Astyanax mexicanus: one gene and its partners. The protein of the gene in region 1 interacts with the protein of each later gene in a pairwise test. Links are inferred from orthologs where the notes say so. Each region holds a gene or a part of one and is shown on either strand. Other genes may lie near its edges. The genes, in order: adamtsl4, cpne7, ammecr1 and fbxw5.

The links.
Region 2: the proteins of adamtsl4 (region 1) and cpne7 interact in binary tests that used the Homo sapiens proteins (3 or more experiments, as listed by UniProt). The two-hybrid records come from large-scale screens. The link is inferred for Astyanax mexicanus from reciprocal best matches to the Homo sapiens genes ADAMTSL4 and CPNE7.
Region 3: the proteins of adamtsl4 (region 1) and ammecr1 interact in binary tests that used the Homo sapiens proteins (3 or more experiments, as listed by UniProt). The two-hybrid records come from large-scale screens. The link is inferred for Astyanax mexicanus from reciprocal best matches to the Homo sapiens genes ADAMTSL4 and AMMECR1.
Region 4: the proteins of adamtsl4 (region 1) and fbxw5 interact in binary tests that used the Homo sapiens proteins (3 or more experiments, as listed by UniProt). The two-hybrid records come from large-scale screens. The link is inferred for Astyanax mexicanus from reciprocal best matches to the Homo sapiens genes ADAMTSL4 and FBXW5.

What each region holds. Positions count from the first base shown.
Region 1 is NC_064413.1:29,579,703-29,587,197, forward strand, and holds the start of adamtsl4 (thrombospondin type-1 domain-containing protein 4), read left to right. Parts: upstream 1-4,457; 5' UTR 4,458-4,832; coding exon 4,833-4,855; intron 4,856-7,495. UniProt on the Homo sapiens protein: Positive regulation of apoptosis. May facilitate FBN1 microfibril biogenesis.
Region 2 is NC_064423.1:36,516,962-36,523,935, reverse strand, and holds the start of cpne7 (copine-7), read right to left. Parts: upstream 3,010-6,974; 5' UTR 2,879-3,009; intron 1-2,878. UniProt on the Homo sapiens protein: Calcium-dependent phospholipid-binding protein that may play a role in calcium-mediated intracellular processes.
Region 3 is NC_064424.1:19,971,436-19,979,429, forward strand, and holds the start of ammecr1 (AMME syndrome candidate gene 1 protein), read right to left. Parts: upstream 3,031-7,994; 5' UTR 1,982-3,030; coding exon 1,509-1,981; intron 1-1,508.
Region 4 is NC_064408.1:19,868,365-19,876,163, reverse strand, and holds the start of fbxw5 (F-box/WD repeat-containing protein 5), read right to left. Parts: upstream 3,015-7,799; 5' UTR 2,911-3,014; intron 604-2,910; 5' UTR 595-603; coding exon 408-594; intron 160-407; coding exon 2-159; intron 1-1. UniProt on the Homo sapiens protein: Substrate recognition component of both SCF (SKP1-CUL1-F-box protein) and DCX (DDB1-CUL4-X-box) E3 ubiquitin-protein ligase complexes.

The DNA of each region.
Region 1 (7,495 bases):
TGTTCTGACCTAGAGCACAAAAAATACAAAAATTATGGGGAAGTTCATAGAAAAAAACAATTTCCACAATATAAGTTTCTTTTATTTTACCAAATTAAAAACCTCTGGAATATAATCAAGAAGAAGATGGTTGAAAACCTCTGGATGATCACAAACCATCAATCCAAGCTGAACTGTTTGAATTGTTGCACCGGGAATGGCATAAAGTTATCCATAAGCAGTGTGTAAGACTGGTGGAGGAGAACATGACAAGATGCATAAAAAATGTGATTTAAAAATCATTTCTTATTTTCGGCAAATAAATGCTCTAAATGACAATATTTTTATTTGGAATTTGGGAGAAATGTTGTCCAAAGTTTATAGAATAAAACACCAATGTTCATTTTACTTAAACATATACCTGTACATAGCAAAATCAGATAAACTGATTCAGATACTGAAGTGGTCTAGGGCTGTAGATTAAAAACCCTTATATAATATAGCAACTCATTAAAACCGGTTGATAAATGTGCAGTTTTTATGTTTTTAATCAGAAATAAATGCAGCTTCCTTAGTTTTTTTACAGGCCTGTCTTGCATGGACCAGTACCGTGGACATGTTGACATATTGCAGCAGCAGGCCAAAGCAGACAATGCAGCGCCTAGGTATTTATATCTCCTGCTTCTGTGACCCATCACCAGTGCTGTAAACACAAAATAACAAGGTTTTAAGTTGTTCATATCAAAGCAGTTTTTGTCCAAGCCAGCATCATATACTTGCTATTTATACATCATACAGCAGCTTAAAACAATAAATGCATCCTATGGCATGGTTAAATCTGCCAGTTCAGTATAGTGTGGAGAGCTGTGTGTGTAAGTGTGAGTGTGTGAATGTGTGTGTGTGTGCATGCATGCCTGCCTGGTGAAGGAATTAAGTGGAATAAAAACAAATCTGAGCCCCTAACAAAGCTGTAACACTAACTACTTCATCCCAGAGGTATTCGCAGAGGTTGAGGTCAGGGCTGTGTGCCGGTCACTGGAGTTTCTCCACACCACACTCGTCAAACCATGTCGTTATAGACCTCATTCTGTGCACAGGGACAGAGTCACAGTGGAACAGGAAACTATTCCTTATACTGTTGCCACAGAGCTGGAAGCAAATAATAATGAGAAAAGTATTTGTATCTAAGTTTCACATTGTAACTAAGAAACCAATCACTGAGAATCAGCCCTAAATCATCATCCACCCTTCATCAGACTTTACTGGTGGAACCAAAGACTGTACAAAACATGGACACTGAGATTCCAGTATATTCCGTTTTATAGCAATAAAGACAAACGTGTCTGTGATGAAGAGACCAAAGTTAGGGCCAGTTATGCCTACTTATTTTTTAGACCCACACCCTTCTCCCAGACCGAGCTTGTCTCAGACTGCCTTCATTGAGTTAAGGAACCAGAAGCAAAGTGGATTTTAATGTTCCAACAGTTCCAACAGTGCAGTTCCTTTAAAATACAGTACAGTTAATATCTGGTTGCTACTGAGACAGGCTACTACCTGAGCTGCTGCAACAAAGTCAGCACACACCAGGTATAATTTACAAAAAAAAAAGAAAATACATTGCAATTTTTTATGGTATTTGGACACCAGAAAATAAATGTGATTAGATTCTTGGCAGAGAACAGATACTACAGAGTTCAGCATGTCTAACTACATTAATGTTAGCTGACTGGTTATCAAGTAATAAGATCATGTTTTTATCATAATTTTATACTAACATAAGACTCATCAAAAAACATTTTCCACCTACAAAAAAAAAACATTTTCCAAAGTGACCACATATCACAACACCATGTAATCAATAACATTATGAATACTAGTTGCCTGACAGCTCAACCACAACTCAGCTACTCCATCTAATAATGCAGAAGACTGTATCAATCATGATACAGTGTAATAACTGTTCCTCAAAATCAGTAAAAACTGATTTGTGAGGAATGAGAAAATTTTGCCTTCATTAGCACAGGGAAAACCAACTGTTGTAATTAGACACTGGAGATGGAATTAGAAATAAATGTTCTTTTTTGTTATTTAAACATGTGGGGATGAGCATTGCTACACATCTTACTGCAACAAGCCAACAGAGGCGTTCGACACTGAAGAGCAATTTATCAGTCTGGATAACACTGCTCAGTTTCTGGTTCATTGTATGTCACTGCAGCCTTTTACCACTTGCTTTGCACATGGTGATGATCTTAGGCATCCAGCATGCAGCTCAGTCATGGGAAAGGCTCTTTCATAAGGCTCTGACGAAAATGAAGTTGCCTTCAGTGACAGGTTGGAATTGATATTGAGTGATGCAACTGGTTTGGAATGATACAGACCAAGATAGATATATTAGATATTTACACTGTACATGAGAGTTTGCATTGTCTACCACTTCATGTCTGAGCTGTTGTTTTTTCTCCACATTTCTGTTTCACAATATTAGCACTCATAGTTGAACAGGGCAGCTCTAGCATGGTAGAATTTCATGATCTGACTTGTGGCCAATCTTAGAATTCTGCTACAGTGCTATGTTTAAAGTCACTGACCCTGTTTTCACTTGGTCACTTCATGTAACTAATATCTGTGTTGTATTATGATAAAATTTTAACCACATACATTTACGTACGAGTCAAATTCATGTCCAGATAGATGGACAATATTTTAATTGTTGCTTAAAATTGACAAATTTTACGTGACATTGTGCATGATTTTATATGCTGTTGTCCTCAATGATGATCTTTCTCACAGACACGAATCACATGCCAAATTATATACTACATGGGGAGGGGTTTCGTTTGTACTAGGACGTGTTTCGGTTGTTGAATGTGGCTTTTAGAGATGGATGCGTTTACACTGTTATAACATGGCTCAAATGCGTCATAAACTCCATTCACACCTTGCATTAACAATGTCCTGGGTAATCCGATCATAAGTGGACAGCACAAAGTAGAGGTGAGATGTTTCGAGCATGCACTGTAATCTGATCACTCAAACCATATTTAGAGGTAGTCAGAGACACATATTATACACATTATTCTAGTATTCTTAAAGAATTTCAATGCGTTCCTGACAGCAAAGCACTAGCCGCGTAAACCATGCCATTGCCAATGGCAGAACATATATAATACCAGAGGCCACACCGTCTACACAAGTTAGCTAGTTAGGTAATGCATACATTACACCAAACAAATTTTCAAGGGAGTTCACTGTCATAGACAAATATCCAGTGTCTGAATAAAATCATGAGAGTCTTTCTAGAGTAGATTTGCGGTTGTGTCATCTTGAACATTCAGTGTAAGGTGGTTAGGATTGAAGGTTTAAGTCAGTCTTTTTCTCATACTGGCGTTCAGATAAAATCAACTGTGTTTAACCGTGTTCTTGACTTGGCTCAACGAATAGTGACGTAAACAATTTTAACAGCCAACAGGAGAGCTACAGCAAGCAGCAAGGCAAGCGCATTCTGTGGTGTCTTGTCTTGTCTTGACTTTAATCAATTCAAATTTATTCTAGTCTTTTCAACGTTTTTTAGTGTATAGTTAGCATGACTTGGATTAAAGCAATACTTGTGACCGGTGTGCAAGTGAACTAAGTGCCTCGTCTATTTCTTATGCAAAGAATTAAGAGTCTTATTGTAAACTTTTTCAGTAGAAATGATGTGGGAAATCTGATATCTGCTGGTCACAGGAGAAGCATTTAAAATGGCAGGTGTGAACAGCTATAGGTTTTAGCAATCGTCTGTAATCGGATCACCCAGGATATGTTAATGATAGGTAAGAACTGGGACTTGGACCTCCTCCTGAAGTGGTTTAAGTGATCAGATTTGTGTCTGTTTTAATCTGTTTTGGGTGTGTTTACGTTTGTATTTTTATATGGCATGGCCTCATTTAGATATAATCCTGATACCCAAAATTCATAAAGAGACCAGGTGTATATGGGGTTCACTGTGCTCTCTAGCACCTCCTATTACACTGCCAAAGTTTTTATATGAAAATAGGATGTCTATGTGCCAACCTGAAAAAATGAAAATATGAACATTTGGATGTTGTGGGGAACACCTGGCTGCTTTTCATGGGCAACCTTCCACACAGAAGCTAAAGTAACAACAAATAGAACAGAAATAATACAAGAGCATGCACGTGAAAACACCCCACAGAGACACATTAGATAGGAATACACACTTAAGAGTGTGTGTGCACGTGTGTGCAGTTGTGTAATCCACACACTCTCCAGCCCCTTCACTCTCCAACCCCTTTAGGCCCCCCTGCTGTCCAACGTCACACCACTTCTCCACAAGGACAAAAAGGAAAAGTTGGTTAAACGACAGAAATGAAAAAAAGTGGCCCACCCCTCTCTTACCCCTGAGTAGGGGGTGGGGGGCGTGTGTGTGTGTTGTGTGTGTGCGAATGTGTGTGACTCAGCCAGAGGGAGAGGCAAAGTGACAGAGGAAAGAGAGAGAGAGAGAGAGAGTCCGAGTGTACGAGAGAAAGAGAGAGAGAGTCAGTGTGCAGAGGGAGAGAGTGAGTGTGTATGTGTGTGTGTGTGTGTGTGTGAGAGAGAGAGAGAAAGAGAGAGAGAGAGAGAGAGAGAGAGAGAGAGAGAGAGAGAGGAAAAAAGAAAAAAAAGTTGGACAGAGTTTTGGACACAGTTTCACTTCGTGCTTGAATCCGGATTTGGAAGCAGTAAGAAACCTGATTGGGGTTCAATACAGCGCGAGCAGCTCTGTAAGGAGAAGAGAGGGAGAAATTCAGAGGGAGGAAAAGAGAGAGAAGTGATAAAGAGGAAGAAAGAGTGAAAAAAAGAAAAAGAGAATGTGGCCTGGGTCTGTGTGCAGGTAAGCCCCTGTGTGTGGGTTTAACGTTATTATTAGCGCTGTTTAGTCTGGTTACGTTGGAGGTTAATGCCTCCAGCAATATTAACAAACTTCAGTCTCGTGTTTTTCGGTGTGTTTTGGTGTCATTTTTCAGTACACCAGCTTTTTTTGGCCCACGTGCTTCGTTTTTCCCCTGTATACACAGTTTCTCACACATTGTGTTTTTTTAGACCAATAAAAAGTCTCGTTTGTGCGTTAATTTCAGCAAGTGCCTCCTTCACGCGCCTTTTCACCGTTTTCCAAAGCTATAGCTCCACTGTAGCGACCGCATGGGCAGGCACGGATGGATAAGGCGATGGAGGGGTGGGTTGGTGGGTTTTTAGGGCTGGCTGGCTGCGTGGTGAAGAAGGTCTCAGTGCCCCCTTGCCCTTCCCCTCCCCTCGCTCTCCCCGGGAGCTTTTTGTGCCGCTGTCCGGCGCTGTTTTCGTTGGGGTTTCCGCGGTGGCGCGCAGCAATTATGGTTTTTGTGCAGCGTCCCATTACGTTCCGCTGCGGCTGCACGCAGACTGCACCGCGCCGATTTGGGGGGTCGAACCGAATCCGCAGATGCATGACTTAGAATAACACGAAAACCCCTCAGTGTCTGAAGTGATTAGCTCATGGTTTGATGGACAAATAAGCAGCAGAAGTTCTGCAGGACGGGTTGGAGGAGATGGAGGAACAGTGGTCAGGGGTAGGGTCTGGGCACTGAGCTGAGTTTACACTCAGGAGGACACACATCTGCTGAGATGGGTCTGGGCCAGTGTTTACCTCCAGCTCCAGAGCTGTGGTCTAGAGGTTTGTGTCCGCACAGCTGGAAAACTCCAACCTGTGCAGAGCAGGTGGACCTCAGAAGCAGCGGTGGTGGGGGTCTGTTGTAGTGTGTGTTGTTGTCTTTATGTATTTATGATAAGGTGCTGAATGAAGGCATGCTTATTGTTGAATTTCTAAAGCCCTATCTGGACGGGATTAGTTTCTCAGGGGGTATTGGGGGGATTTTCTCTTTTATGGGGGGTCCTCTGTGATTTTAATTAAATCACGCGTTTAATAAAATAGTTATTTGTCTACTGCCACGCAACGTGATTACAGTTTGGACGCACATAGATCCACGTAAACACAACAGCAAGTGGAAATGGAGGAGCTACTGAACACGATGTCTTGTGACCGAGAAAGCCAAAAAACTAATTGATCCTCCTGTCTTTTCAATTTCAGTCCGGAGTAGAAATGTTAAATATTTTTCACAGACGTCCCCCTGAGAAACGAATCCCGTCCGGGTAGGGCTTATGAGTATGTTGTGGTGTATAGTGGTTTCTATATTGTTTTAAGTGGGTGTGTGTGCTGGGATGTACAGTACAGTAGGTTGGTTGGTCCTTCTATTGTTATGTGCCTTGTTTTTGTGTGTATGGGATGCTGGTAGCTGGTTTCAGATGATCTAATCTGGTATATGGTGGTTAAGCTGGTTGAAAAGCTTCTTATCTAGACTGAACCATACTACACTGCCTGGTCGGAAAATGAAATGATCTCGATGCTCCCTGAACCACTGTTTTCCCTAAACCACTCTTTCACAACTCCAGCCCCATGAATTCTGGAATATGCTTGTGCCATCAGGGAAGAAAAAAAAATCAATTGATATATTCAAGTAGTCAGCTGACTTCATTCTTTCATCACATACTGTTGCTGAACCTATACCTGACCAACTGCAGCAACCCCAGATCACTTTTTTAGGCCAGGCAGTGTATATACTGGTAAACAAGCTGGTTGACCACCTCTTGACTAGCTGAGTACATGATGGATTTGTTTTTAGTCATGCTTTGCCATGCTGTTCATGCTGGTCGACAGATTTGGTTTTGCTGGTCATGCTGGATGTCTATCTTGGTCAGGTGGTTCATGCTTTTGGGTCTGATAAATCATAAAACTCAAACATACCTATGCTGGTCAAGATATAGGCTGGTCAACCAGCTTAACCAGCTTAAGATGGCCAGGTTCTTTTTTTTTCAGCATGGCATAAAGATCTGCATGCTGTTTTTACATCATACATACATCCATCTGTCCTAACAAGATTCCCAGTTCACCACAACACTTTTGGGATAGTGGTTGTTGGGCAGTGGGCACTCTGGTTCACATGGCGTTTTAAAATAAGGTAAATTAAGGTCTCATCTGACCACAAAATCCCATATAAAACAAATCCACTCTAGCATTTCTTTGGTGTATTCTTGAGTAATGCCTTTCATTACAGACATACAGACAGATATCCACACTTCTTTATATTGTTGATTGTTGTCAGCCAGTTAACTCTGTAGGTCCTTTAATGTGTTGGTCTGTTTGTATTGCCCCCTTCTTGTTCTGATTCTCAGTTTTTAGGATGTTATTTAGGCAGCGCCTAAGTGGTGTGGTTCAACTTTCATTTCCTCACATTTGTTTGAGAGCACTTAGTTGGATATGTAGTGTTGTCTAACATTTCCTGTATGTGCATTTCTTCCATTTTTTTCCTTAAGAATGCTTTCCATTTTTTGGTCTCATTATCGTGTATCCCAGCATTTAAGATTTAATTTACAGTATATAATGTGAATTTCCTTCCTGGCAGTTGCTTGCATGTTGATGTGGCATCTCATGTGGTTTCAC
Region 2 (6,974 bases), on another chromosome or scaffold:
AATACAGTATTAACCGGGCAAATCCTTTATTTCACTTGACATTAAAACCGCACTGTTCTCTTACACAGAGCAGGCTGGCATTTCTCTGTGTCTACCACCTGAAAGAGTGAGTACACCCTCATAAATCTCCTTGAAGATGAACGAGATCGGATCAACAAGCACTAAAACAAAGCCTGAAAGCCTGAAATAATAGGAAACGCAGCAAATGATCCAAAGAGGCTGCATCTTTCAGCACCACTGGGCATATGAACAGCTCTCCGAGCCCAGATCGAGTTCAGTTAAAGGTACAATAAGTGTTTTTTTATTCAAAATACCAGAGTAATGAATGGCATACAAAATGAATGTTACCAGACAATATAAATCACTGAACCTCACATTGTAACAGGTTGTGAGGGTACAAGGCAATTAATGGGTTGTAAAATGCCTTTCTTTGTCACTAAAAGAAAATATATCTGTAGGAAAATACTACATACTGCACCTTTAAGCTAGAAAAGTTTAAATACATAGATTTGGGGCTGATCCTTGGGAAAACACCTTCAAAACTTGTGCATAAACAGCATTTGTGCTGTTAAAGTTAATATCAAACATATTGGAACATTTTCTAAATGCCAGAGGAACCAAACTACAAAAGATCTGACTCATCTGATTTATGATTGACGACAAACAATACACACATACACACATACACACACAAAGAGAGAGAGAGAGAGAGAGAGAGAGAACTATTCTAAGCTACCACTAAGGCTTATTAGTGCTTAGATAATCTGTTTTTCAATTTAATTCAGTTCACACTTTATTCAAATTATCCGATATTGTCCGATAAAAATGTATTATTGTTTATTTAAAAATCTATGTAGCTGCTTTGGATAATTTTTTTAATTCAAATTTTTATCCCATTTTCTCCCCAATTTACAAGGTCAATTACCCAACCAACTCAATCTATCTATCTATCTATCTATCTAGTAATGTAATTCATCAGCTCACAGACACCTGGTGCTGATCCACATCACCCTAGGAGTGATGAGGGGGAAGAGCGCCATCTACTGTACTCCCCGGTAGCCGATGGCAAGCTGCATGAACAGGATTCGAACCTGCAATGTCCGCTTTAGGTTAATTTGTCATAAAAACAATAATATTTTAATAGGTCGGGTTGATTGTATCATTACAACATTAGTCCACTGAAAGTCTCGATAAATCTTTTACCATAACTGAAATTTCCCTCAATGAATTGCTGTCGAATAGAGTAAATTTGAACTGGAAACTGAATTGAATTGACCTTTTTCAATTCTAATATTTTATTTTATTTTATTTTATTCCATTTACTCAGTGCCTGTTCATATGAAGTACCCCATCACTATCAATGCCTCAAACATTTGCAATTGCAGGGAGAAAACTCCGGGGCTGAGATTTAGTTTAGTTTAATTTAGTTTTTGCCCCCCTCCCCAAGCAACAATTTTTTTTAAATGATGTCTGAACAAATCTCTGAACCAATCACGAAAAAGCATTGTGCTGTGCAACATGAAGATTATTTCTTTGCTTATTTCTGATTGGCTCTTTTGAGTCATATAAAAGCAGCAGGCTGTTTGGAGAAGTTCATTCAGAGACGTTCTGGTTCAGTACGACAGGTCCTGTCAGTGTGATCATGAGAAACATGGATACATAAGGGCAAATTAAACATGAATGTTTCATTCAATAGGTATACGCAGTAGGAAACCCTATAATGCGTCGTTTTCTGTTGAAGACACATGCAACATTTTAATTTATTTACTTCATGCATCAAATTAGCCAGTATCATTAGCTCTGGCTTTAAAATATGACTATCAACATGCCCACCTATTATGTTCTACTGCCCCCCCAACAAAAGCAACAAGCCTCATTTCCAACCTCTGTTGATGCAGCATCACTGGGTAGCCAGCACTCGGAGGAAAGCGCAGGATCCCCAGATCTGATACATCATCTAACTGACTGTGCCAACCAGCATCACAATGAGAGTGATGTGCGGAGAGTGTGCCACCTACTGTACCCACCCAGAGAGAGCATAAGCCAACTGTGCTCTCTCTGACTCTGGCTGCTGATGCCAAACAGCAGAGTTTGGTGTCAGAATTATGTCAGAAAGTGACAGCATCTTATTCTGTTAGACGTCTCGAAGCCCCTGAGATCAATCTTTAAAATGTTAGACAAAAGCAAAGCCATAATAATTTATGTGGGTTCAGTTTTCATGTAAACTCTATTTTGTTCAGTAATGGTTGGTTGAGTGTTGCTTGTACATTTACAACATAATTTTTCTGACAATCCCTTTTTATATCCCTAAAATGGACTGAATTTAATCTAATCTAAACGGAAGTTGAATCAGAAACTGAATTTAAACTACTGAAAAGATATTAAAGCTACAACATTAGTCATCTTTTGCTCATTCATTCTACTAACCCACCCATCACCATTCAGCACATTCAACACACTGCACTGTATACAGAACCTCAGAAAATATGATTGAACCCAGCCCACACCTTCATCATCATCACCATCATCATTACTATTAGCTCACAGTGAATGCTTTACTGCTCGTCTTCCTAAAGAAGTGGAAAGTTGAAAAACCTGAATAAGATTTTAGCTGCACGTGGCAAAGCTTAGACATGCACAAAGCCCAATCAATAAAACACATACATCCCATAATAATATTATTTTTAATTATAATATTATTAATCATAATTTTAGTAATAAAAGCTGCAGTAAATTGCTGCTTATTGCTTCCTCCATACAAAGGCAAGCAACAGATCTGATAAAGTCAGTGACCAAGACTCATCACTTCACCGTCAAAAACGATAATAAACACGCTGAACTCACGAGCCCGCAGCTCCAGAGCGCTCGCGCCTCTTACCTGTTTCCCTGGCGCACTTGTTTCCCCAGTGTTTCCAGTGTGTTTCCTCCGGCTGCGCCTGCTACAAATATTATTTCCCAAACTGATGTGCAGCTGAGAGCAGAGGAAGAGCAGGAGAGGGAAGGATGGGTGGAGAGAGAGAGAGAGAGAGAGAGAGAGAGAGAGAGAGAGAGAGAGAGAGAGAGAGAGAGAATGGGAAAGAGAGAGAGAGAGAGAGAGAGAGAGAGAGAGAGAGAGAGAGAGAGAGAGAATGGGGAAGAGAGAGAGAGAGAAAAATTGTTGATATTTCTTTTCCCACCCATATTCCACCCCATTAGCCCGAGATTGTCTTTGAAACCCCGCCCCCCCACGCTAGGATTAGCTACTCACAAGATATTCTCCAATCAGAGTACAGATGGGCGGGGCTAGTGAGAGTATGGGTGGTTGAAGAGAGATAAAAGCGAGTGAGGTGAGTGAAAGATGCTCAGAAAGCTGAAGATGGTGCTTTGGATAATGATAGTGATGTTAATACTAAAATATGAAACAAAAAATAAACAATATGCAGCAAAACAAGACATTCCAGACTAATATCAGAATTATAGTTTTGCTTGATTGCATATAATACAGTAGAAATGCACTTTTTTGTGGCATCTATATAAACAAGTCTGTAAAAAAAGAAAAAAAAAGAGACCACTTAAACCAAGCTGAACTGCTTGAATTTTTGCACCAGCAGCGGCATAAAAATATCTAAAAGCAGTGTGTAAGACTGGTGGAGGAGAACATGCCAAGATGCATGAAAACTGTAATTTAAAACCAGGGTTATTTAGGGTTATTTCTGAACTCCTAAAACATGAGAATTGTTCTTTCCAAATGAATACGAATTTGTTTTCTTTGCATAATTTAAGGTCTAAAAGCTCTGTACCTTTTTCATTTTTTTGACAATTTCTTATTTTATGCAAATAAATGCCCTAAATGACAAAATGTTTATAGGAAATGTTTGGAGAGAAGTTTATACAATAAAACCCCAATATACCAGATATATATATATATATATATATATCTGGTACAAAATAAGAGACCACTTCAAAATAATCAGTTACTCTGTTATGTGTAACAAAATACTTTTTTGTTAGCAAGAAAAGAGCATGAGTCCCAGTTGCATATTACACATGAATACTATAAGGTATATACTATATACTAATCATAATAGTGCAGGTTTGGTTTGGCAGGTAAGAAGAAAGAATATCAATGTATTAACCTGTTTTGTATTAACAGGAAGTGATCTCTTTAAAATTATATTTCATGCAAAGACACAAACACATTTAAAACAACACAACATTAGCTATTGATAATGTAACCTCTCATCACTGAAGCTCAGGGGAAAAAGACAATCTCTGGGCATTTAAACAACGTTCGTCAATAACTAAACAAAACAAAATTGCTTCTAAATGTCAGTGGCTGTGCCTTCTAACGAATGCAATCAGCTATTTTAAGTTATATCCATGGGAGACACAGATGTGCAAATGTATACACACACCAAGCTTGTGGGTGTGTCGAAATATGATGGATAAAGCCCCAGCATTGGAATTGTGTTCTCTGGAATGATGGAGCTCCATCAAATTATTTTGGATGACTTGAATTGGGGAGTTGGGGAGTTGGGGATTAAGTGGGCAGTTCACAGCATTTGTCCAAAATCTAGAAGTAATCTAATAGTCTTTTCTGGATAGTAAAGACCAGAGACTGTAAAAAAGATGGACGCCATGTCGCCGCTCCCATTCATTCAATGAAAATGGAGCCAAAATTTTCCGCCATGTTGGCGATCCTGAAACCCGAGTCTGTGCAGTAGAGACCAGAGGAGGGAGAAAGACTGTGGAGAGACAGCCTACTCATTAAAATAACCCCGCCCCTGAGGGCTGCCTCCACAGAGCTATACACACTCTATAGTCCCGCCCATACAGTCATTGGTCCCACCCTGGCTAGGTGTTACCCAGCCCTTTTACACACCAATAACAACACCTTTTTGAATAGAGCTGAATAACGTTTTAAAATATGAATTCTGTAGGGATATAAAAATCTGACAATATAAGCAGAGGTTACACTAGCTGTTGCATTTAAATAATGGCGGTAGAATTACAGTATATTGGAGGAAAAACGTGATTGAAAGTTGTCTGTTTTGCCATTGAAAACTATGGGGATGGGTGGGCTTACACAGCTTTCTGCAACCGAACAGCAGGGGGCGCCCGACCTGTGGTGGCTTCACTTTTGAGAGACAATGCTCTGTCCAGCTATACACAGTCTATGGTAAAGACAGTTACTCCAACAAAAGCAGAATAAACTTATTTTAATATAATTGATTTCAGAAGCAACAGTAAAAGAGCAGGTGTCCCATTACATTTGTCCATATAGAGTATATATGTGCAAGTCTGTTTATACAGTAATTCACCACTGGAATCGCATAGGAATGCACCACTTTAGTTTTTTCTCGCCTCTCATGCCTTTTCTTTCTCCTGCTCTCATCAAATCACAGCAGCTCACAAGCTGTCTCTCACTTTCCCCACAGCGCCTGCAGTCATTTGCAGCTGCTCCACACCAGAATTGGACGAGATGGCTTTTCTGTTTCCTCCTCAGCACTTTATAGTCCGTAAATGACTACTCTCTTTAACATAAGAGATGCTAAATATGGTGCTTTGGAGAGCTGCCACAGAAGAACCACTTTTGGTTGCCTGAAGAACGGTTCTTACAAAAACGATCCTTTATGATGAGCAAGTGGGGACAACCTGTTTTAAATATCCTCCACATAATGCAAAGTTCTCCCCCCGATTTAGCTGTGCCAATTAACCCACCCACTTATATGAACCACCCTTCATAAATGCAGTGCCTCCAACACAAGTGACACACGTGAAGTCAAACTCTGCCTCTTTTCCAACTTCTGCCAATGCAGCATCACCATGCAGTTCTGATCGCCAGCTCTGATACATAAGCACACAGACGCCCACGGACGTCATTTGGGGTGGGGACCTGTCCCCTGCAGTTTTTACGGTTAAAATCCAATGTCACACTATATTAAATAGAGATGGATCAGGCGCTAGGACCAAGCAGAAAACAACCACTCAAGCGGAAGCCAGTTTCCCTTTAGACCACCCACAAGCTCATGGACTGGCTCTGCTGCTTCTTGCTAACGTGTCATTGGTCGCCGCGGTTGAAGAAAAAGTTGCTTTGATTTGTGATTTCAAAAATATGATGTTAACAGGTGATTTGCAATTACCAGTAGCAGTATCAACTAAAAGTCTCTACACTGTTAGCTTAAGTCATAGACTGTATATAGCTGGAAAGAGCATCGTCTCTTAAAAGTGAAGCCACCACAGGTCGGGCGCCCCCTGCTGTTCGGCTGCAGAAAGCTGTGTAACTCCACCCATCTCTATAGGTTTCAATGGCAAAACAGACAACTTTCAATCACGTTTTTTTCTAATATACTGTAATTCTACCTCCATTATTTAAATGCAACAGCTAGTTTAACCTCTGCTTATATTGTCAAATTTTTATATCCCCACAGAATTCGGCGACACGCCGTCCATCTTTTTTTACAGTCTCTGGCTTAAGTTAAGCTGAATTTACTTAAAAAAAAATGTAGTAAACCGGTTGCCTTAAAAAAATTTAATAATGGGGAATTTAAACTTGAGTTAGCATAAATTAAAACATCAAGTTAATACAACTAAAGGGGAAGTTGACTTATTTCTAAGGTAGCGCAGGGGGGAATCACTACACACTGATGGTGAGTGTCAGAAACTCAGAACCTGTTGGACACACCCAGTATGCAAATAGATTGTGACAGAAGCCAATAGAAAAAAAGCTGTTAATGGCAACAGACTAAACTCAGTTATTATATATAAGTTGGTTCAACTCAAAGATCTCAGTTTGAATGTGCAGTATATGTGCACACAAAAGTTGAGTATTGTTTAGAAATGTTAAATGTTATGTAAAACAGACTTAAATCATTTGAGTTTAAACAACTTCTGAGTTACAGTGTAAGAGGCAAAGATGAGCGGCATCCATCAAATCACTTCAATACTTTTGGGATGAGTCACTGAATTCAGCGATGCTCCAAAATCTAGTAGAA
Region 3 (7,994 bases), on another chromosome or scaffold:
ACAACGGTACTTTTACATTCACAAATTAAATACATTTAAAGGCAAATGTTTGTGTACTGCTACTCAAGTGGAGGTCTAAACGGATCCATATTTGCTGGAGTCATATTTTACCTATGTTAACTAGTCAACCTACCTTAGGTTGTTATCTACCTCTATTTTAACTTGAATAGCAAGCAAACAACATGGTCTGGGTGATTCGTCCACCAATGTGCTGGCTAGTGTTAACCCAGCTAACGCTACCGAACAAAGCAGCAAAAACTGACCGGTCACTCATTCGCGCTACAGTGATGTTTATTTGCAGGGTTAGCTTTCGCAGACTGGACATGTCCTTAAATTAAGTAATTGGGTTTGCTAATAACTAACCTCAACCACCCAAATTAATATAAGCAGAGAAACGCCAATTAAGCCTAGCTGGAAATATGCTAGGGAGTCGACTTTAAAACTACACTGCTCTGCTGTTAAAGGCACCGTAAACAACTCCGGCTTTGTTAGCTAACCAATCTAGCGCTAGCTAGCTAAGCTAGCCAATGACTGCTAGATGCACACCTAGATAAATAGATAGACAGCTAAAGCGCTTGGCTGTTTTTAGCCGACATTATGCTTGACAAAAACAAGCCAGCCAAAGGAACTAATTATAAACGTGGAAAGAACTGGTGTCGAAATTCTGTGTAATTTCAGGAATTTCACTGGCAAGTGAGCTAGCTGGCTAATATTCGTGGCTAGCCGAACAAGCTTAGCTAACGTGTGCAGCTTGGTTAGCTAGCTAGCGTAGCTAACGGGTTCATAATTCAGTTCACTGTAAAACATCACCCAACAGAGCGTTAGCAAGAGCACACAAAAGAGACACACATAAACTACCGTATGTTTGATAACAATCCAGTTATTTACCTACGTGTTTTTGAAATTTGTTTGACCGTATTTATAGTATAAGAAACCCACACTAACCCAGAGAATTAGCTTTAGCTGAAATAAAGTGGGACGCTCGGCCAGTGTATCTGATAAAAAATTAATCCGGACTAAGTTGGCTAACCGCTAGCTAGCATTAAACCCGTAAGCTCACACCAGTCAGTGTTTTCGTGGTAAATAGTCCAGCTACTTGAAGTTCATTCAAACAACAGCGGCTTTAGTAAATAAAGGAACTCGGGCACTTTTTTCTCCTTCCTTAGGCGACGAGTTGATTGAAGTTAGATAGGTTACTTTTTTAGAGAAATATCTAAAACTACAAATGTTTTCAATCGTAGCCACCTACTTAGCTAACTCTATCTGAACACAAAAGTTGAAAGTTACCAGGGAAATACATTTAAGCATTTGGTAGTTAATAAAGTAGCAAGAAAATATAGGTTAATGGTGACTCGTGTCAGTGTTTACTGAAAAGCAGGCAAGACTCCTTAGCTAAACTACTTCAAGTCATATTTCTTTAGGCTTCTTTAGGTTGACAAAGACCGAGAACATCACTACTTAGCTGCTATTTTAGCCAGTTAAGCTAACTTAGCCATCCCGCTACTTACTAGGGGTCGTTTGTAAACCTGGGTGTTCGGGGAGGCTGGTATCCGTATAGATGGCAATAAAGCACGTCGAAGCAGAAGCAACACATCTCCGCCGACACTACCATCTTCCTGGCCCCGCTTCCAGAGCCAGGACCGGGGCTGAGGTTCGGAGAGAGGCCGGTAGAGTTGTAGCCTCCCGGAGTTGGGGACAGAGCGGTGGAGTTGCCGCTGCTGCCTCCTCCTCCGCCGCCGCTGCTGCCGCCGCTACCCCCAGGACCCCCCAGGCCGTTCACCCGATTCACGCTGCCGGCCACCACGGTGGAGGAGGACCCGATCCCCAAGTCCGATCCGCAGTGTCCGGCCCCTGCCACCCCGCTCCCCGCCCCGCCGGGCCCCCCCGAGCCGGGGGATCCCGACAACTTCTGCTTCTTCACCCCGCAGCACCCGGCCGCCATCTTCGAACAATCTGCACCGACACACCGCTTCCGACCCATCACCGTCACCGCGGGAAGGGCGGGGGGAAACGCCGACCACACGTAAAAGTCCCACTGCGTCAGGGCGTACGACGGACGATGCTCCACCTTTCCCTCCTCCTTCTTTCCTCTTCCCTCCTCCTCCCGCTCCCGTCCGACGAGCGGCGTAGCTAGCGAGCTAACACCCGGAGTAGTTTGACTGGGGGGGGGGGCGGTGGGGCGGAGAGCTGAGGGGGGGCTGTAGGGAGTTAGGTTAACTAGGGAGTGTGCGGGAAAGTGTGTGGGACTACGAACGAACGCACCACGCACGCAGAGGAGAGCCTCTGCAATGTCACCCGAGCTTCTCCAACGGCCGTATCGTACGCTGCGGTCGTACGCAATGTCCGTAAGCAGGCGGCCAGCCAGCTGCGAACCTCTGCAAAGCCAACGACGCTTGGACGGAGCCGCGGTGTTCGCAGTGTTTGTTGATGGGGGCAGCGGCAGCAGGCCCCTCGCCGCTGCAGCTCGCAACACGAGTCTCTGTCAAAGCGCGCAGACATCCACAGTGTGCAAAAAACAAACAGGCAAAAAAGGGCGTGGAAGTCGAGAGTCGAGAGGCTTCAGGACGCGGCGGAGCAGGAGCAGGACCAGCGTCCACCGTCCCCTTCTCTCTAGCTAGCTGTCTCCCCGGTCCACCTCCCTCCCTTCCTTAACAGCACAGACACAGCGCAGCTTCCCGTGTGGAAATGGGGGGCTTTTTTGAGTACGCAGGACCCATACGGCTCGCTACGCCCCGGCTAGTGCTTTCTTTTTATCGGTTGTTTACTTGCATCCGACCTTGGCTAGCCAGCCAGCTAGCTAGAAAGAGTCGGCCGGCCGGCTTCTTCCTCCTCCTCTCCCTCTGGAAGGATATATAGAAAGGCTCCGAATAGCACAAGTTATCCGCAGCTAGGATGGCGCTTTCTTTTTTTCAGGCACCGCTGCAGTTCGGCTTTTTTGACAGCGCCAGAGAGACGCAGAGAGTCATTTCATCTGCGCGAAAGCCCAGCGAAACACCGGCCGTCCCCTCAATGCGCAGTAGCCTCGCTATTACACCCACCTCCCCCTGGCTCACCCCCGGCTCACCCCCACCTTCACCCCCAGCTACGGCTCTTTTTACAGTAACCCCACCAGCACTGCGAGAAGCAGACTGAGCAAACTGGAAAGTTTTCTCTCCACGGCTTTTAACGTTGCCATCCGTTTATTAGGGCACATTTTTTTGCTTTTGTTTTGAACGGCTCGAGACAGAAGTCCCCGTCCATCAGAAGTCTCCGGACGCTCTCCCCCCAGCCGCACGTGCTCGCTAGTCCAGTCCCAGCGACTGACATGAAAGCCCGGTTGCAGTTTAGCTAACGTTAGGTTAATGTGGAGGAGGCGAGGAGGAGGAGGGGGAGAAAGAGGGTCCTAGCTATGCGACCAACCCGAAGCGTATTCAAGAGCCGTATTCACTTCGTGCACGCCGAACCCAGAATCCAGAAGAGAACGTAACTAGTTTACGCACACTTCGTAGCTACGCATCTTGCGTATTCTTCGCAGCTCCGCGAATCTGTATTCTCAATCTCGGCTACGTGAGAATTAAAAGGAAAAAATGCTGAGGCAGAATCCTCTCACGGAGCCGTTGTTTTCTTCACTCAACGATTTGTCATGTAACGTTAACAGTCTTCATTTAGTGAAGTCTTCATCTGTTCTTGCCCATCTTCATCCTATAGTGGAGAAAGAGACAGAGAGAGAGAGAGAGCAGGTCAGGAGGAGGAAAAGGAAAAAGCTAGCTAAGCTATCTATTAGCTCCAACCGACACACAGCCAAATGTGTGCTCAGCACCCAGCGACTGACTGAACAGGGAGGATGTCCTGGCGTGTTCTCCCTATTCATTCAAATACCCCCAGTCTAGCAAAATGTCAGCAGCCTACACACAACATCATTCATTATTATTCACCAGAGCTCACAGGACACCAAGGTAGGCTGCAGCTCTTTCTCGTCACAGGAAACCTGGAGCTCCTCATCTCGAAATCTTCTTTCTTTTAAGTGAAGATATTTTGACTTTCTCTTGGGTCATTTACACAAGGCTAAAATATCAAATCCAAGACCAAATCTAAGAAATACATTTGTTCGCCATCCAAAAAACACATTAAGAACCTTTCCTTGAAGTTTTCCTTGCCTTATCAGTGTTTTCTCAGCTCTAATATCGAAGGTTAGGGTTGACACATTCTTGACATCAAACATGCCTGCAAATTACTGAGAAGAATCCAGAAGTATGTAGACCAGGGCAAGTCAGCTTTTGCCAGTGAAGATGTTTGGGTTGGCCCTATAAAAAAGTTAATGTAACCAACACCCTCATACAATGAGAAAATGCAGATAATACAATAAAATTTTTACAGCTAATCGCACAGCTCATTGAAAGGAGAACTCCACATTTTTCTTGAAAGTGAGATGGCAGAGCTGGAATTTATGTCACACACTTGATGTTCCAGTTAAACACTGCAAAATATTCTGTATTTTACACATGCAAACACAATTAATCTGTCCACAGACAGTTAGACAGTTATTTATGTATGAGACACAAATACATAAAGGTGCTAAGAAACTGAATAACACTACTACTTTTATTACGGTTGATGTACCATGCAGCCATCTTGGATTCTGAACACTGTGTTGGTGAGGCTCTCACAGCTTTCAGAGTAGAACATCCAGAGTAGAAAGTCTCTCTGGATAACAACTTCAATCAAATGCCCTAGGTGTATTTATACTCCCAAAATGAATACATATGTCAGGTTTAAATTATATAACATTTACTGCCCACATACGTTAGTGAGTCTTTTATGTTGGCATTAGGCAGTACGTGCAAAAAGGAGCATCAGAGTCATTGGTGGATTTGGATTCTAAATAAAATGGCTATATTTATGTTTAAATAAAGCATGGACATTATGTTTAATGGATGGATTTGTTGGACTCATTTGCTTTTTAGGACACAAGAACATAAATTACAAAATCACATTACAGTTAAATGTTAAACATTTAATATACCGCTTTAAAAAATAAGAGAGCACTTAACAATGATTTTCTTAGATTTTTACCAACTTGAAAACCTCTGGAATATAATCAAGAGGAAAATGGATGATGACAGCCATCAAACCAAGCTAAACTGCTTGAATTTTGAACCAGGAGTGCCATAAAGTTATCCAAAAGCAGTGTGTAAGACTGATAGAGGAAGACATGCCAAACACCAGGGTTTTCTGAACTCTTAAAACTTTATGAATAGGAACTTGTTTTCTTTGAATTATCTGATCGGTTATTTCAGCCACCTCATTTTCTGCAAATAAATGCTCAAAATGACTATAATTTTATTTGGAATTTGGGGGAAAGGTTGTCCGTAGTTTAGAGAATACTACTCAATTTTAATCAAACATGTACCTATAAAAGCAAAATAAGAGAAACTTATTCAGAAACTGAATTAGTCTCATAATTTTTTTCCAGAGCTGTACAATAGTTACACTGATCAGTCAATATTACCATCTCCTTGTTTATACGTATATTCTATTTATTCTGTCTATTTTATCAGCTTGACTGACCATATATATGGAACTTTGTAGTTCCATAATTACATGATGTTATAGGAGCCCAGGACCGCCGGCCACAGAGCAGGTATTAGTTAGGTGATCATTCTCAGCACTGCAGTGACACCTATGTGTCCTTGCTGCACTGAGAAGTCCACCAACCAGAACCAACTCGTCCTGTGACCACTGATAAAGGACTAGAGGATAACCAACACAACCTGTGCAGAAACCGATGATCATCTAGGTAGGAGTGTATAAAAGAATGAACAGTGAGTGGACACTGTTTAAAAATTCCAGCAGCACTGCTGTGTTTGATCCATTCGTACCAGAACAAAACTAACGAATACACCACCACCATAGTGGCTGAGAATAACTGGCCACCCAAACAATACTTGCACTGTGGTGATCCTGTGGAGACCTGACCAGTAAAGAACAGAGTGAAAGGGGGATACTAAAGTATGCAAAGAAACAGAAGGACTATAGTCTATAATTCCCCTAATAACTACAAAGGTTTCTATAGGGTCAGTGGAGCTGATATACAATATGGACAATGAGTGCAGAGGTGGTGTTAATGTTATGGCTTATCAGTCTTCAAGTGAAATGATGATCTGCATGGACCACACTTAAGACATCCCCAGAATGCGCTGACGGCAGAATCACTAAAACGTGCTCATACCTTCAAAAAAAGCAATTAGGATTATACCATTTCCAGGATATGCTGCTGATGCCTGAATCAGTGCTGTAAATGGATGACACTGGTGTTTCTTATAGCTGAGCTCAGCACTGAGGATTGAGGGCAACAGGTTAAAACTGAACACACTGAGGCAGCCTCCAAGCCACAGGGCACCTTCAGGTCTTTCATAAAAGTGATATTTCACAGTGTAACCCAAGCCTGTCCCTGCTGCATGTGCTGATTTGCTGGGGGTAGCAAGTTCATCAGGACAAAACATGGATATACGCCTTTGTCAGTGTGTAAATTTAGTGGACATGGATTGAGCTAGAGGCAGCACTAAAAGCATAATACCGTATAATAAACCCTGTAATTTATTCTTTATGTGGCATTGATTCAAAATACAAACACAACAGAACAGCAAATTATGTTATTTAATGACCAGTCAATGGGGAGCCAGACCTAATTACAGGTAAACACAGCAAGACATAAGTAAAAGCTGCACAGCAAGAGATGTGCCGTTGATGGTTATGTTAAATTAATTAGAGGTCAAACTATTCTGACTGGCCAAACAAACACAATCTCTCCTTTCAGAAAATTTTACAAGCTTAGTTTTCCAAAATGTACAGAAACTGCCATATATCTTCACAGAATTATTGTACTTGGTTTATCAGTTAATCTTAGGCCCTGTCCACATGTAAGTTTTAGGTGACTGAAAACAGAACATTTTTAAAATGCTCTTCAAGGTGTTTTATGCAAATGCGTCACAACTCATGCATGTTTCTGTCTATATCTCAAATTAATTGTTGCTCCCTATATTGTGAACATTTGCACAAAGAAAGTTCTAGATTTGAACATATGACTAAATGTAAATACTGTTCAATTACAAATACATGATGCTCTAATTCGATTTAAATCATAATCATAATTTAATGAAAATGAAAACTACATGAACTGCAGTTTTACTGATAAAACATTACACTTAATGGAACTTTACACAAATTGTGAATCCAGTCAAAAACTCCACTGCTTCTGGTCCTTTTGGCAGAGCTGTTAACGCATTGAAGGTGGTTTGTGGGGCTTGGGCAAACATAAGTGTGGCAGGTCTACCAACTGAGTAGGTTAAGTCTCAGACTCTGGTTGCAGATTAGATAACATGGCAGACAATTTATGTTTATTTCTACGGAACAGAGGAAAGCATCTGTACTTTCCACACCAAAGGATCTAGTGATGTTTAAATCCAACAGATTGCAAGGGTGGCCTGATGACTGTAGAATCATTTTTTATTATGAAGATGGAATCTAAACATAGTTACAGAAACTTGGTGACCCAAGAATGCAGTCTTCTGTATCTGTCCTTGGAACTGTTCTGCTGCTAGAACGGTGCTCATTGCTCCTCACTGTGCACTGGGACTCTCCCTGCAAGATGACGCAAGTGTATCAAAGCTCCAGCTTAATTATGCAGTCATCAAACTTCCAAGGTAAATGAAATGCAGCATAATCAGACACAAACCTTCCAATAGACATTTGCATGCATTGTATGTAACATTTTCACAAAAGAAGCCTATGATTACACCACCAGGTCAATTTCACAGTGATATGTGCAAACTATCATCTGTTTTAAATGAACTTGTAAATAAGCAGGGCTAAAGTGTCATGGGCTGAATTTGTGTAGCTACAGGTAAATACATAGGGGTTTGTGGCCACAAAAACAATTAAATTAACTCAAAATGGGCTGTTATTAAGTTATTAAATCACAAACAAAAGAAACACACGTCTGAGTCTTAACTAAA
Region 4 (7,799 bases), on another chromosome or scaffold:
CCTTGACAGTGCAGTCTTTGGAACATGACGAGAAACGGTGTCCACGGTGAGAAAAGGCCAGGTGTAGGACCTGGTCATGATGTTCCCTCAGTGTCTGTACCTCTACGCATGGGATGCAGTCATACAGCCTTTTAAATTCCCTGTACCATGACACAGCCGCTGCAGAAAAAAAAACATAGAAAAAATTATGGTCCTTAACTACATTTTTTGTTCTCTTTGATAACAGGCCTAAGCCCCATGTTCCAACTTTCGTTGACTACCTCTTTTTTTTGTTAAAAAAATTAGGATATATTCACTGCAGATCAAGCATGAATGTGTATAATAATTCATAACAATTTTAAAATAGTAATATTATCTAGAATGTTAAAATAAATGCAAAGGCAGTGCAATATTTCTATCTGCAGTACCTGGGTGGCGGGGCACAGTGCGTGGGATGCGGTAGTAGCTGTAGAAAAGCTCCCTCCACAAGAACTCATCCCGAGATACAGCAAACCACTGCCGGCATGCCAGGCCAGCCCTCAGCACCGCAGCATGGGGAAGATGCAAGAAGATCTCCAGCACCAGGCTGTCTGGCAGGCCAGGACCATTCTCCATCCTGACATCCTGAGGGAGAAGCACAAACATCATCCTCCATTAGTTTTGGCAGTATTACTTACATTCTTGGTCCTGTACAATCAGCTCTATAGACTAGAAATCAAAACAGCACCTCTACTACCTGAGAAGACTAAGAAACGTTTTGGATATTTTAGAAAAGAGATAGAGATATAGAAATATACACACACAGTTTGTCTAGCCCTGTAGAAAAGAACTGTCAACAGAATCACTCTTTGGCGCAAATAAGCATAAATCTATAGACACTATGTCTATAGCCAGGTGTGGGCTAGAAGGATATAAAGCCCCCCAGTATTGAACTGTAGATTTTTGCTCTCTCGAATGATGGTGCCCCAATAATTTTAGGAAGAGTTCAGGAGATAAGGATGTGGTGGGATGGGGTTGCGTGTTTGTAACGATCATCCAACATTCGGACCTTACTAATGTTCCTGCTGCTTAATGCAATCAAATCCTTTAAGCAATACTCCAAAATCTAGTACTAAGACTTAATTAAACAGTAGAGACATTTGATCTAAAGTTTTTTTTTTCTACAGCAATGATTAGGAAACAATTAATGTGTCCCAAAGTCCTCCCAATACATAAAAAACACTGGCACCAGCCCACGTTTCCAATCTGTTCATTCAATAAATCAATTCTGTTATAGTAAATTTAATTTTATGCAACTGCTTACTGGACAATCACTATAAAATCAAATGTATCCTGTGGCAACTAAGAAAAAACTAAGGAAGTTTAACAGGGACTGGTAGTACTATTCTAAACAGACCCATCAAGATCATTTTCTAGGTGCAACATGACCACTTGCAAACATAGAAACTTCCAGATCATTTTCTCCCTTTCTAAATAAAGCAGAGGCAAGCCATAGCTCAGTGCATACATGCAGCTGCTTACAGAAGTAGTTAACCTACTAGTTTTTGTTTTACAGAGCTACTAATCGAAGTTTTAAGAACGCTAATCTAAGTTTTAAGAAAGGTTTATATGATGTATTAAAAGGTCCTTTCTAATTAAGAATATGTTCCCTTAGCATAATAAGATATCACATAGACAGGTGGATAGAAAGACAGAGAGATACCTTTACAGCATGTTGCCTCAGTAAAAAAAAAATCTGTTACCATAATTTAACAACCAATTCCTCTAGTGCAGTGGTTCTCAAACTGTGATAAGTGTATCAGTGGTGATGTATGAAAAACACTAAGGAGCTATATACCACCAAGTAAACTTTTTAATTTATCAGCAACTGAGTATTAGATCTAGGTATTAATTTAAGTATTAGATTAGTTCTAACCTCAATTTAATCGGTTTTCTAAATCCGCAGGCTGCAGAGCATCAAGTGCAAAACTACAAGACTGAGAAACAGCTTAATTCCAGAAGCTGTAAGACTCTTAAACTCCACCTAGCCAACACACTGCACTGACACTCTACAATGACAATTACATATTTAAAATTACACTGACACTTTAACCGCACAGTGACACTTTATTATTTTAAACTGTTCTTGCAGGTTGAGTATGGGAATAGTTAAATCAAATAACAACTGACAATTTAAGGGGAATATTTTAAGACTCTAGACAACTATAAAAAATAATATTTTTAGGTAATTATACCTATATAATATCTATCTTTGGGTTTACTACATTTCTATTTAAGCTAGTAAAAGTAGTTTACTGTGATACATCTATTTTATGCAATTACTCACTGGACAATTACTATAAAATCTAATGAATCCTGTGGCAACTAAAGAAACTCATAGACTTTAACGGGCTCTGGTAGTGCTATTTTAAACAGACTCATCAATGACAATGTCTTGGTGTAACAAGTAGATTAACCACTTTTGTAAGCAGATTTACTAGCTAACTTACTAACCAACTGAGTGATGAGAAACGTACAACGTTAAACAAACTTAACTAACCCTAGATCATCTTAGCTATAAACTCCATATGGAGATTATCGCTAGTTACCAAGGTTAACGTCCTTACCTACAGGCTGAAAGCCAGATATAACTTGTATTAAAGTATATTAAAATGTAGGACAAGTGTTAGAACATAAGTATTAGCTAGTTAAACCGCGTTAACTCTTTTAACCTGCTAATTTTCAGCGTTTTGTGTGTGGAGAGAATCAGCTTTCAGTGGAACTCGCTAAAAACAGAGCTAGGCTAGCTCTAGCTGGCTAAAGGGGTAACCGCTAAAGCTAACCTGATTATGTTGGGCAGCTCATAAACAGAGATTAAAACGCGCTACAGACACAGTTCAGGATTTATACTCTTCACACAGACAGTCAGTACTCCGCTCCACCGAGTCTTACCTGTCAAACCCCAGAGTTATGGAGCAAAACGAGAAAGTGTAGCCAATATCCGAGAACACCGGCTAACCGCCTAGCTCCGCTCCCAGACCTCACCAGCCGAGCGCCAGAAAACTGATAGAAAGGTGAGTAATCAGGCAAAGACTAATCAATACCCGATCACTACGATAGATATCTGTTATCTGACACTGCGCAGTTCCGCTATATTCCATTACTCCTTCTCCTTCTCCACGGGAATAATCCAGATCATCTGGGAAAGCGAACCCACTCTTATAAAGAGGAAAACCATGCTGTGCTGATTAATAATGAGCGGTAAGTTCAGACAATATTCAGTTTACCATTCATTCCTAACCTCTCATTCTTTAGTAACTTTAATTTAAGTGATGTTTCTGTATGACATAATATATGACATATAGCTAATTACAGGTAAAAAAAAAAAAAACGCCTAAAGAATTTTACTCTGGAAGAAAAACAGGAATAAACATTCAAATGATTAAAAAAAACAAAAACACTTTTAAATAAAATATAATTTAATGTTTAAGTAATATAACTAACAAGTTACTTTCTAATGTGTTATACTAGGATTTGGCCACAAGGCAATACAGTGGAGTTTCTGAATGACATATAGCTATATCTAACTAGGTAATGTGATATGATTTAAAATGACAGCTATTAAGCTTCTCTATTTTTCTAAATATTTGTAAATTTTTAATTTGTTTACCACAAGTGCTTCTCCACAGGTAAAATAAAGTGCCTAAAGAATTTTACAATGGGAGAAAAAACAGAAATAAACATTTAGATGATTAAAAATTACTTTAAAATAATAAAAAAATAAGATAGAAATAGAAATAAAACGTAAGGTTCTCAGTGTATTATAGCTAATAGGGTGTGGCCACAAGGCAATACTCTCACTGACAAAAAGAAAACCATTTAAAATAAATTATATAATTTAATGATTCAGTAATTTAACTAAAATGTTACTTATGGTTCCTAATGTGTTATAATAGGATGTGGCCACAAGACAGTAGTGGACTCTCTGTACGAAATATAACTATATCTAATTAGGTAATGTGATATCTAGGTAATGTGATATAATAATAAAAAAAAAGCTTTACTATTTTTCCTAAATATTTGTACATTTTAAACATTTAAAAGATCACCACAAGTGGAAACTACTCCACTGTTAAAACCTAGTTAGCAGGTTAAAGTATCTATCTATCTAAAGAAAGTACCTAAATAAATTTACACTGGGGGAAAAACAGGAATAAATAATCAGATGATTAAAAAGCACTTATATAAAAATAATGAAATGATTCAGTAAAATAACTAACAAGTTACTTAAGGTACCCAATGTGTTCAAATAGGGTGTGGCCAAAAGGCAATACAGTCATTGACAATAAAAAATAAAAATAAACATAAAGATGATTAAGAAAAACACACTTTTATATAAAAAATGAATCAATGGTTCAGTAGTATAACTAAAGTTACTTTAAGTTCCCAATGTAATATAATAGGAAGTGGCCACACAAAAAAAAACACTTTTAAATAATAAATAAATCAAATTGTTTTGTGGCTTTGTTCTAAGTAAACTGCATCACCTTTCATTGTCATTTATTTATTTATTTTTCAATATATGTTTTAGATTTTTCGTTATCTGTATGTTCGGGTAGGGTTGTAAGTTAGAGGGGCATGTTTAATTCTAGTCCCTGTTAATACCCTTCTCCTGTTAAACAGTTCAATAAATATATATTTAAAAAAATAAATAAATCAATGAATCAATAATATTCTTACTTAAAACTCCTAATATGTTAAAATAGGCTGTGCCCAAAGGTAGTACACTCACTGCCTCATTAAAAAAACAGAAATAAATATAAAAATTATAAAAAACTTTCAAATAAAAAATAAATAAATGGTTCAGTTTTATAATTAGCAAGTTACCTTAGGTTCCCAATGTGTTATAATAGGGTGTGGCCACAATAGAGTGGAGTTTCCGTATGAAATATAGCTATAGCTAACTAGGTAATGGGAGATATATATATATATATATATTTCTTATAGCATTTTCGTTGTCTCTTTGTTTGGGTTGAGTTGTAAGGAAGGGGGGCATTTAAGATTTATATGTGCTATTTGGGAGAAACGGTTTAATTCTATACCCTGTTTATATTCTTCTCCTATTAAAAGTTCAATAAATATTAACATTATAAAACATTATATAAAAAAAAGAAATTAATTATTCAGTAAAATAAAAAAAAATGAATAAACTTTCAGATGAAAAAAAATGCTTTTAAATTAAAAATAAACCAAATTGGTTAGTGGCTTCATTCAATGTAAACTGCATAACTTTTATGGTCTTTTTATTTTTGGTATTATTATTAGTTTAGTTAGTTCGATATCAGTGTATTATTTTATGGCAACTACGAAGTGCATTTGTGTCCTCAATATATTATGTTGTGCCCACACATTAGGGGGCAGATATATTATTATATTATATTATTAAGGAGTTGTTACTCCATTGTAAGCTTGTCAAGTCAACTAATATGTAAAATGAATCACATGGTTATGTATGCGTTCTGCTATCAGGACTTTGCTACCTGTGGGAAAAGCTGGCTGGCTGCTGCAGACCCACAGGAAGTCCAGTCACAAACACAGGATGACACAGTAACCGTACGTATGCCAAAAACCTTACAATCACATGAACTCATATTTCCAAGTTACCCATTACTGATTCAGTGACTACGGGAAAATGACACGCATATGTGTTTTTTGACTCCTCAGAGCAGCAAGTGTTGTCAGCATGGGAAAACCCCCCGCCAAGCCAGCAATCACCACCAGCCAGTACACTGCCTGTTGTAGCGGCTCAGTGGTTTAATACCTGGTGCTAATTGAGATGTTGAAATATTTTTTAATTGGGCGCCAGTTATTAAATTAATTTAATTAGATCAATTAATTAATTAATTAATTAATTAATTAATCAAATTAATTAATAACACAAGACATCTCAGGGTGTGGTTTCTACAGGTGACAGAAATTTTCATAACCAAGTTATCCAGAAAAACACACTGAAATGACAGGTTTTGTAAAATAAAAGTATTTATTAAATCACACAGATATGAGTAAATAATTCATTAAAAAGTCATAAATGTAGCCATTAGCTATCAAATCATAGTGTAGAATGATAAATGAGAAATAAAAGAACAAACACGTTATAATGCTGATATGAAAGGAATAAAGATTAATATAACTATTAAGTGAGTATTTCTAAATAAGGGTCTAAGGCATTTTAAGTCTACGAAACCAATTCTTATTTCCAACCAAGCCACTCAAAATGAGTCATCTATACTAAAGACGCTCTATTAAAGACCCGACCAAACCATGACCAACAGACACCATCTGCCGAAAGATTAAACCCAGCTCTGCCTTACTCTGAGTTGTTGAAGTGAGCCTTGGTGACGTCCGCCTGGGTTGGTCGTCTGCTGCTTCACCCCGAAAAAGGATCACGTGAGCCTGTCTGCAGGGTGGGTGGACTTCCTGTGTCAGCACGGAGCCCCAGTAGAACCCACAGGGTAAATCCCTTCGCTCTCAGGTGGCTTGCTGGTGGCCTCCGGACCGCAGGTTTCTGGGTTGGATCTGGCGGATCTCCTTTTCAGCTGTACTTTAGCTAAACTTAGATGGAATAATGCTTGGCTTCGTAGATTGTAAAATAACCTTAGATATTTTAACTAGGATAGCTAATATTAATATACTTGAAGATTAAATGCACTAGTCTAAGAAAACTAACTTAAGATGACTAAACTAACGGTCTATCCTTTCTCCATCTCTGGCTCCCTAACCTCTCTCCTCTAACTGTTTTCCTCAACTCATCTTCTCCAACTCCTTCTCTAACTGCTTCTCCTCCAACTGCTCTGACCTGAACTCCCAAAACTCAACTGGCAACTGAACTAAAACTGTGTCTGCCCAGTTTACTATTAGTCTCTGTGGCCTGTTTGGCCCCTGAGCTATGATTGGCCCTGTGGCCCAAATGTCTGTGTTTTGATTGGTCTAGGAGCAATTTCAAACTTTGGTGGGGATTCACAAAGGGCCATAAACCCCCCCTCCTCACATGGTCAACATGCTTCAGCATTTTTCTAATAGATCAAACCAAAAGAAAACTCAATTAAACAGTGGATCAAAATACCTTTTTCAGCATATCAGTTTGTGAGGATAAATTCAGGAAACAAACAATCTTACAATTGAATCACAATAAATGTAATATATATATATTTTGCCCACAAACAGTTTTGTAATACTCAAGATAATCTTAGGAATACAATGATGGATGGTACTCTGTCAGAAAGAGATCAAGAGTCATGTTATTATTTAAACCCAATTAAATCACTTAAAAGATAATACATGGTTAAACCACTGATAACCAAATAAAGCTAAATTATCAAATGCTAGTTAAACCTTGTTGATTCAGACTTGAATGTGTAGGAGAATTTAATCAGGACACATCCAAACACATATACCATTATCTAGTAAACATTCTATAAAACACCTTTTTTATATAGTCAATATATATGTATTTTAAGCAAAATCTTCTCAGTGAGAAATTCCTCTTCTCTGCTGAGTGTTTAGATAAGCGGCTGTCGTCGGAATTTACGACCGTGGGGGAAGTTGGTGAAGTTGGTGTTGGGAATGTAATTTCCAAGCTAAGAGCATTCATTTTAACTTCATGAATCTTATTTCTAAGTGGTTGCAGAAAGCACAAACCCCTAAATTGGTATAATATATTTGGTGAATTTACAATTTCCAAGGCATTCATTAAGTTTTGAACCCTCTCTCAAGTCCCGTAGTCCCGTCCTTGTCCTGGTGATTGTGCTGTTGGCAAAACCACAATTGTGCACAGTTCCAGA